Oryzias latipes: one gene and its partner. The protein of the gene in region 1 purifies or fractionates together with the protein of each later gene. This does not show direct contact. Links are inferred from orthologs where the notes say so. Each region holds a gene or a part of one and is shown in the gene's direction. Other genes may lie near its edges.

Region 1 (4,094 bases):
CAACCACAGGGGAGCACAATCCAACTCTCTTGTGCCGGTCCCAAGTCCGGATAAATGCAGAGGGTTGTATGAAAGCAAAACTAAATTAAATATATCAATCACAAACAGAGTTAATATCTAACTGTATGTATGTATGTATGTATGTATGCATGTATGTATGCATGCATGCATACATGCATGCAGGTCGGTTCATCCTGCAGCGCCAGTTCTGCTTACCAAAACTGGCCCACTAGGCGGCTCGCATTCCATGGATTACTTCATACAATTTTTCTTGTAAAATATTGAGCAACTATGATTGCAAAACCATTCTTATTACAGTTTTTCTCCATTGGTTTGGCTCATTTCTTGAAACAGAAATTACATTCTCAAAACAACATGGACAAACTTCCAAACCACTCTGCAATTGTTCACAGCAGAATGGAATTTCTCATTAGTTTCATCAAATTGCAAATGTCTTAGTACTTGTCTCAATGTCTCAGTACATCTTTGCAATTGATTAAGTACAGGTAGCCTTCATTTAGCACAATTTCCAAGTGAATAGATCTTGTTGATCTAAACTGATTGTTGATTCTCAGTCTAATGGTTGTTCTCTCCAAAATGAGTCAGCATCATTTCATTGTGTAAGTCATCACATGCACAATAGTCTGAACATTATACCATGAATATGATATTTATGAATCCCTTGGAACATTTGATAAATTTAATACAGAAACTGACAGTGAGGTGAAACTAGAACTTGACTAACGAAGGAGGATGTCCCAGGATGTCCCATAGATAGATAAAATGAACTTTATTAATCTCCCAAGGGAGATACTCAGGTGTCTGGCAGCAAAACACACACAATAAATAACAATAAAATAACAGTTCATAAAAAAAGCAGTTCATATCAGGCAGATTTGTTAAACAGCCTAATAGCTGAAAGGAGCCTATAACTCCGCGGCTCCTCTGTGCTTTGCTGACGGTCACAAACTAACAGACTGAGTAATTTCATCTCCTTTTTTGTCTATCTGATGAAAACAGTGATTCAATTTGAATTGTTGTTCAATATGTCTTTTACGTTTTTTCTGCACTTACTGCAACTAACAGACAGAGCCGGGCAGGGACCCTTCCACAACACTAGGGGGCAGCAGTACCCACCCAAAAGTGCAAAACACCGGGAGTGAAAGAAAAAGACAAACACGCGGAACCTTTCTTTCGTTCCTCCTCGAATGTACGGATGCTTTACTGCGATACACGGAACGTTGGTTTTCCAGCAGCAGTCGGTGTAAGACTGTTTTATTTATGAGTTAAAGGTTAACCAGCTATTGTTAACCATGGAGGTCCTCGGTGAAGAATTTGGAGACATGACTCCCCAGGAGTTGGCGGCTCCTGTCAACACCGTGGCTGTGAGTTTGCGTAAAAACAACACACAATTTGGCCCCTCGAGACGAGTCAATGCGGTGAGGTGGTGCGCGTGTGTTAGTTTCATGGTGGAATCAACAAAGTAAAAGTTGTGATTCTTGTTGATGTTCTTATTTCTTACGAGTCTGTTTCACGAGCCATAAATAAACTTCTAATGAATTCAAATGATGTTCCTATAGGAAATGACTAATTCATTCATTGCTAGTTCTTCATAATTTCTGCTCTGTCTCTCTCTGTCATCTTTTTCTTTATTGACAGGATAAATGGAAGCTGTTACCAGCCTTTTTGAAGGTAATAATGTTTGGGTGGCTGAGGACATGTGAAAGTCTTTTTGATTCATTTTGAGCATTTTTATGCTACTATAAAGCCCTAATAATTAAAATTAATCAGAGAACTTCAATAATCATGCAAATGCAAGCACTTCAGAAATCCTAAAAAAAAAGGGTTCTGTCCATGATCCGATCTCTTTTTATAGTTTAAGATTCAAACATTTTGCGTTGTTTTTAAAACATCCTATTACTTTAATAAATATTATTATTGTTGTTGTTGTTATTATGAAGATGACAAACCACATATATTTATAGACTGAGTCTTTAAAACTGAGATGTGGGAATCGGCTCCATAAAATTTTAATCTTTTTGTAATCTCAAGTAAAAAAAAAACAATTTAAAAAACCATATCCAATGTTTGCATAAAGCTCGGCTTTTCATAGATTTTAGGGTGTTTTAGGGTGTTGGCCCACAAATGTCTCATATTTTTGTGATGTCAGAAATGTTTTAACCTTGTCAAGTTTTTAAACAGTAAAACCAGACCAAAATGTTAGAATTTAATTGAGACCATATAGAAAAACATTAACATCTTTTAAAAACAGCATTATTTTGATATGCATAGTTGACTGCTGTTTGAATGCTTTAGCATCAGTATTTCTTCTTGTCTCTGCCTACGTTCGATCTTCTGTGTGTTCTGCAGGTGAAGGGTTTGGTGAAGCAGCACATCGACTCCTTCAACTATTTCATCAATGTGGAGGTGAGGCTCTATCCCCGCATCAGCGTTTGCCACATTTGCTGTGTTTGTCCTTGCACTTCTGTTCAAACGTCTTCCTTTTCAGATAAAGAAGATCATGAAAGCAAATGAGAAAATCACCAGTGATGCTGATCCCATGTGGTACCTGAAGTAGGTTCAATGACAGAAATTCAAACCGAACTTCCTGATAGCAAATATCCAACACATTTTTTACCCCCTGCAGATATCTAAATATCTATGTCGGCATGCCTGATGTGGAAGAAAGCTTCAACGTTACCAGACCCGTCTCTCCTCATGAGGTGAGAAAGGCAGCCGATTTCTGTATAATTTTTTTCTTTAAATATACCTATCTTAGATTAATGCAATTGAAAATAAATATTTTGCAATTTTGAACAGCCCTAAAGACTTAAATACATGCTCTCCATATCCTTCTGCATTGAAATTTGGAAATAAATACATTTTTATGTCTAAATTAGAAACTAAAATCACTTCTGTGTTTTTGAAAATGTCTTAAATTTAAAACACTACAGGTTTGAATTAATGATTGAAAATATAAACATGAAGCTATTAATGGTGCCATCAGCAGCAATTAGAAGGTCCATAAGTAGGAAATTCTGGAAACAGTTGGCCGAATTTTAATAAATTAGATAATAGGCTCAATATTTGTGCAGTTTTCCAGACATACAAGATGATCCCATTTAAGGAAGAAGCTTAAAAAATTGTGTGGTCTATCTTTGTAGAAATAAAGTAAAAGATTATTTAAGTCCAATTTTACCTTCCACTTTAATTTCCCTAAAGCTTTGAGTAAATCACAACATCTTCTCTGTTACAAACGATAATATTACAAAAATGTAAGCATCTTTGGCTCATAACATTTCAGTAGTTTATAATTTATGCCACATTCAATGGCTCAAGAAAAATCAAAACAATACTTTTTGTTTGATTTTAGATTCATTCAGAACCTATAAAATAAAATAATAAAAGCTCACTGTATGGCAGATTATCACTATAATAATAATTGATTGGATTTATCTGCGTTTTTCCAGACGCTCAAAGCGCTTACAGTTTGTCCATTATTCATTTATACTTGGTGATGGTAAGCTACTGATGTAGCCACAGCTGCCCTGGGGCAGACGGACAGAGGCCTACAGCCCCCTCTGACCATCACCGGGATCATTCATACACATTCACTCACCAGTGGAGCTGCACTGGAGGCAAGGAGGACACAACGACAGTTGGCTGGGGGGAGCGGGGATTGAACCGCCGACTCTTAGATCATTGGACAACCTGCTCAACCGCCTTAGCCACTGTCACCCACAGTACTGCCATAGTACTTTAATTTGGATTCACTAGTTTATGATTCTGTTTCATGCGGATTCATTATTCCAATTTTCTAACCAATTTTATTTTGTAGTGAAAAACAATGTTCACATAAAAAAGGATTTAAACTGAAGAAAGTGAAATTTTTATGAATTAAATCATTTTTTCTTTATTAAAAAAACAAAACAATGTATAGATTTCTCATTAACACTTTCAAGCTCTTGCTTTGTTTCCTTAGTGTCGCCTCAGGGACATGACCTACTCGGCACCCATCACAGTGGACATAGAATACACTCGTGGCAGCCAGAGGATAATCCGAAATGCTCTGCCTATTGGACGGTAACTCTTTG
Region 2 (4,185 bases), on another chromosome or scaffold:
GTTGGTTAATATTATACCAGAAGCTGTTTGCTATCACACTGTGGCAACAATCACATAGGGTCAAATTGTTATGCAGCGAAGTGATATACATTTGGTCTCTACAGGAAAAAGTTGAACATTTTAGCTGAAAATGAAAAAATAAATAAATAAAACAGTTAGACTACCCAAAGCTTTTGAAATGATCATTTCTAATTAGCAGAAACTTTTTAAAATTAGAAATGCCTTTCTTTCTTTAAATTTTATGTCATTGTAGCATGTCAGGCTGATTATTCTGTTAAAAGAAGTTAAACTGTTTTATCCTTTGATTTGTTCGAGGGAAAATGTTTACATGTTACACTTGTGTACTCTACTTGGATTTTATGGTAAAACATGTGCAAAATAATAATAATAATAATGCATTTTAGTTTCTAATTGGCCAATGCACAATCTAGTGAAACCCCGTGGTAGAAATCAATTGTTAGCTGATCAAATAAGCCTTTACTTACTTACTTACTTACTTACTAACTTACCCACTTACTTACTTACTTACTTACTTATTTACTTATTTACTTATTTACTTATTTACTTATTTACTTATTTACTTACTTACTTACTTACTTACTTACTTACTTACTTACTTACTTACTTACTTACTTACTTACTTACTTACTTACTTACTTACAGTTGTGGGGGGCAGATAGAAATTTAACTTGTTTCCCATTTTAAAAAAAAGGATCAATTTGATCTTAGTGCTGTGTCCGAATTTCCAACCTAATCACCAACTACTAAAAACGATATAGTGTCGTGGGTTTTAAAAGCAATTAGGACACCATCCTCACTATTTTTTTTCTTTTTTTAAAACGGGAAATATAACGTTACCGATTTCACGAAGTGAAAATCTGATCAATACATACTCCGTCGTAAATACAAGCAATTTACAACAACTATTTATTAATTCATTGCGTACTTGAAATAAAAAAAATATTGATTGTTTAAAAAAAAGCATTTCAACACATTGTTTTCGCAAAAAATGTTCAAAACGCAATGCATTGTCATTGATCTATGTTGGCCAATTTAATGAGCGTCGATGCACACTGGTTAATTTGCAGAGACTTCCGAGAAATTTCTTAGGAACTGGATTTTGAAATTGTAGATTCGGACAGCATTACAAAATTGCGAACGCACTGTATAGTGCACTGTGTAGTGAGTGGTAAAGGAATTTAGAGATGTATTTTTACACAGGCAGTCATGAGACTGCCTCTGCCTGTGAAAAAAAACTTTCACATGGGTCGGGTCCTTCAAGTGCACTCTATCAAGATGGCAGCCAACAGCAGCACGTTCAGCAAATCGAGCAGCAGCGCGGCTGGAAAACAGCCCGCGCAGTCAGCCGAACAGGTATCCTATTGAGTAGCGGAGTCTTTTGTCTCGGTACTCCTGAGATTGTGACATATTATTCGTATATATTCAGCAGAAAGTAACTAAACCGACGTACAGCCAGTCAGCGCTAACGTTAGCTTCCCCGTGGCCACAGAAGTGTCTTGCAGTCAGACCCATGCGAGGGGAAAGAAATTGTGAGCATGAAATTAGGTCCAATTTGTGCTATTTGCACATCATGGAATGGGATAACGTCAAAGATAAACTAAAGGTACACCATTCTGTATGTGGGTGGTGTGGCCCTCAGAATGGGTCTGACAGAGCATGATGATGCTATTTTTACTACTCAGACAGTCAACAACTATGCACAGCTCAAGGGCTACGGAAGCCTTTCATATAAGAAAAAAACTGTTTCAACACGTTGCCAAATTATTAGTATAAAGCGACGTCTTAGTGATAGACAATAACATGTAGACACACTATAGGAACAAATTAGCATAAAAATGGCAAATGTTGAAATGTATTAATCTTTATTCGATGTTTGTTGAAAAATAACATTAAAAATACATATGAACTTCAAAAAATTTTGGGGTCAAAATTAAATATTTTCATACAGGTTCAAAGAATACTGTGAATTAAGTCATATTAGGAAGTCATATTCTAAGTTATAAATTGCTCTTGATTGAAAAAAGAAAGTAAAGCTAAAAAAAATGGTACATACATTATATATAAAAAAAGTAAAACAATTTGAAATCATTAACATGGAGAAGGTTATGCATTTGGTCTGCTTAAATTGAACCAGAGTTCACTTTAAGGTCTGGGACCTTGACCCATCTTTGCAGGTGGTCTTGGTTAATTTCCAATCAGATTGAGCTCGGGTTCGCTCTAAGATTCCTCAATCTGAATACCACTGAACCTAAATGGCCACCATAGCTGACATAAACAGAGTAGGAATGTGGCTACAGATGAGCCGCGGACAAATAAGCAATTATTATCGTGTTATCAAACAGAAAAAAAGAGTTCAAGTGTTTATTTGTTAGAACGTTTATTTTAACATTGCTGAAAAGGCTACTTGCATGCTTTTCTGTATCTTGTTACGCGGCATTCGCCTGTGGCATGACTAAAAGCTATATTATAGTTTCCTTAACAGAATTCTCTAAAAACAATGCCCTAAAACCACAATGATGAGACACAGCAACTCATTGAAATGTGGTCAGATGAATGCAGGCTAATTAAAATCATTTTTAATGGGAAACACATTGTATCTCACTGCAGGCTGAAATGACACAATTCTGATTGTTTTTTGCCCCTATGCGACCTGTATCTGATCTTTTCATGACAGTCTGAACGACACAGATCCGATCTTTTCAAATGCGACCCAGGCCACTTGCGTATGTGGTCCTGAATCCGATATGTATCCGATCATTTCAAATGCGACCTCCGTCTGAACGTCCAGGCCACATGAATCCGACCCGTACGTCATTGATACGCTGCAAACATCATCATTTTTCGTTGAAGTAGGCGGGAACAAGAACATAAACATCAACCAATGGCGGACGATGCTGCTGAGACCAGTCAGTGGAAGGGAAGCGAAGTCACCGATTTGATTAATATTTGTGGTGACGGCTCTATTCAGGCCAAACTCCAGGGCTCTTTATCGCAACCATGCGGTTGCCCCTCAGAGAGGAGAGAGCGTGGCAGCCTACTCATACCCGACGTCTCGTCATCAATGCAGTTACTAGCATGCTCTGAGTTAAAGCACACACAGCACGTCTCCTTGCCACTGACCGCTTCGCAGCATGCCTTTGCCGTACCAAAGTAACAAATAAAAAGGCTTGTTCCCGACGTTCAAAACTGATAATCGAAAAAAATATAAAATTTTAATAATTTAACTGTTAAGCGGCACACGTCCACATTTCTCTTGTTTTGATCTGCCCTCGTAGTTCCTGGCCAATGACTGAAGAGATCTTTAGTCACATTGTTTTGTTTATAAGCTTTGGTCGCTAACAGAATGGGGCGCTTAACGCCAGTCTGATAAAGGCCTAACGCAAGGTTCGGAACTCGGTCCGGAACAAATTAAGCGGACTGGATCAAAAGGGACTGGGTAAAAAAAAAAACTCTCTAAAGTCACAATTTCCTTTTAAGGTTTGGTAAGTTTATTCAGCCTGAAAGCCCCTCAGTCTGAAACAGCTTACATGCTTGTGTTGGGATCAGACGGATGCGTCAAATGTCATTGGTCTGCATTGATGCCAGCTTTGCGGTGATGTTTTCAGGTGGTTGCCACCTTTCAGAGGATGCGTCAGGAACAACGCAGCATGGCGTCTAAAGCTGCAGAGCTGGAGATGGACATCAATGAGCACAGGTTAGCAGCTGATGACTTCTCCTCTGAGAGCTTTTATAATACTCACTTTTTATGTTTGATTGTTAGCAGGACAGCTAATTGGATCATGTTGGTCTGTAGTTAAATTGACCTTTTTACTTTATATACATTAAACTTAAAAAAGAAAAACATCTTGTAACTCACCTCGTCACATAACTGGTAAGTGGTAAAAGAGTAATAATTTTAATGTTTTTTTCTTTTTGTGTTCAGTTTAGTTATTGAAACTCTTAAGGAAGTGGACCCTTCTAGGAAATGCTATCGCCTGGTTGGAGGGGTTTTGGTAGAGAGGACGGTGAAAGAAGTTCTACCTGCTTTGGAAAACAACAAAGAACAGGTGAAAATAAACAAATAAAAGCTCTTTAACATTTATCACAGGAAGCTGTTTTTCAGGCTAATGGACATTAAAGTCTTACTCTGATCATCATTTGATTTATTTTAAAAACGTTCCCAGT

Evidence for each region.
Region 2: the proteins of polr3b (region 1) and pfdn2 purify together in Homo sapiens (affinity purification with mass spectrometry; 3 studies listed by BioGRID and IntAct, with this or other methods). This does not show direct contact. The link is inferred for Oryzias latipes from reciprocal best matches to the Homo sapiens genes POLR3B and PFDN2.

The regions. Positions count from the first base shown.
Region 1 is NC_019864.2:21,469,367-21,473,460, forward strand, and holds the start of polr3b (DNA-directed RNA polymerase III subunit RPC2), read left to right. Parts: upstream 1-1,196; 5' UTR 1,197-1,313; coding exon 1,314-1,439; intron 1,440-1,659; coding exon 1,660-1,692; intron 1,693-2,370; coding exon 2,371-2,427; intron 2,428-2,509; coding exon 2,510-2,574; intron 2,575-2,647; coding exon 2,648-2,723; intron 2,724-3,982; coding exon 3,983-4,083; intron 4,084-4,094. UniProt on the Homo sapiens protein: Catalytic core component of RNA polymerase III (Pol III), a DNA-dependent RNA polymerase which synthesizes small non-coding RNAs using the four ribonucleoside triphosphates as substrates.
Region 2 is NC_019876.2:18,973,840-18,978,024, forward strand, and holds the start of pfdn2 (prefoldin subunit 2), read left to right. Parts: upstream 1-1,252; 5' UTR 1,253-1,263; coding exon 1,264-1,374; intron 1,375-3,626; coding exon 3,627-3,715; intron 3,716-3,943; coding exon 3,944-4,067; intron 4,068-4,185. UniProt on the Homo sapiens protein: Binds specifically to cytosolic chaperonin (c-CPN) and transfers target proteins to it. Binds to nascent polypeptide chain and promotes folding in an environment in which there are many competing pathways for nonnative proteins.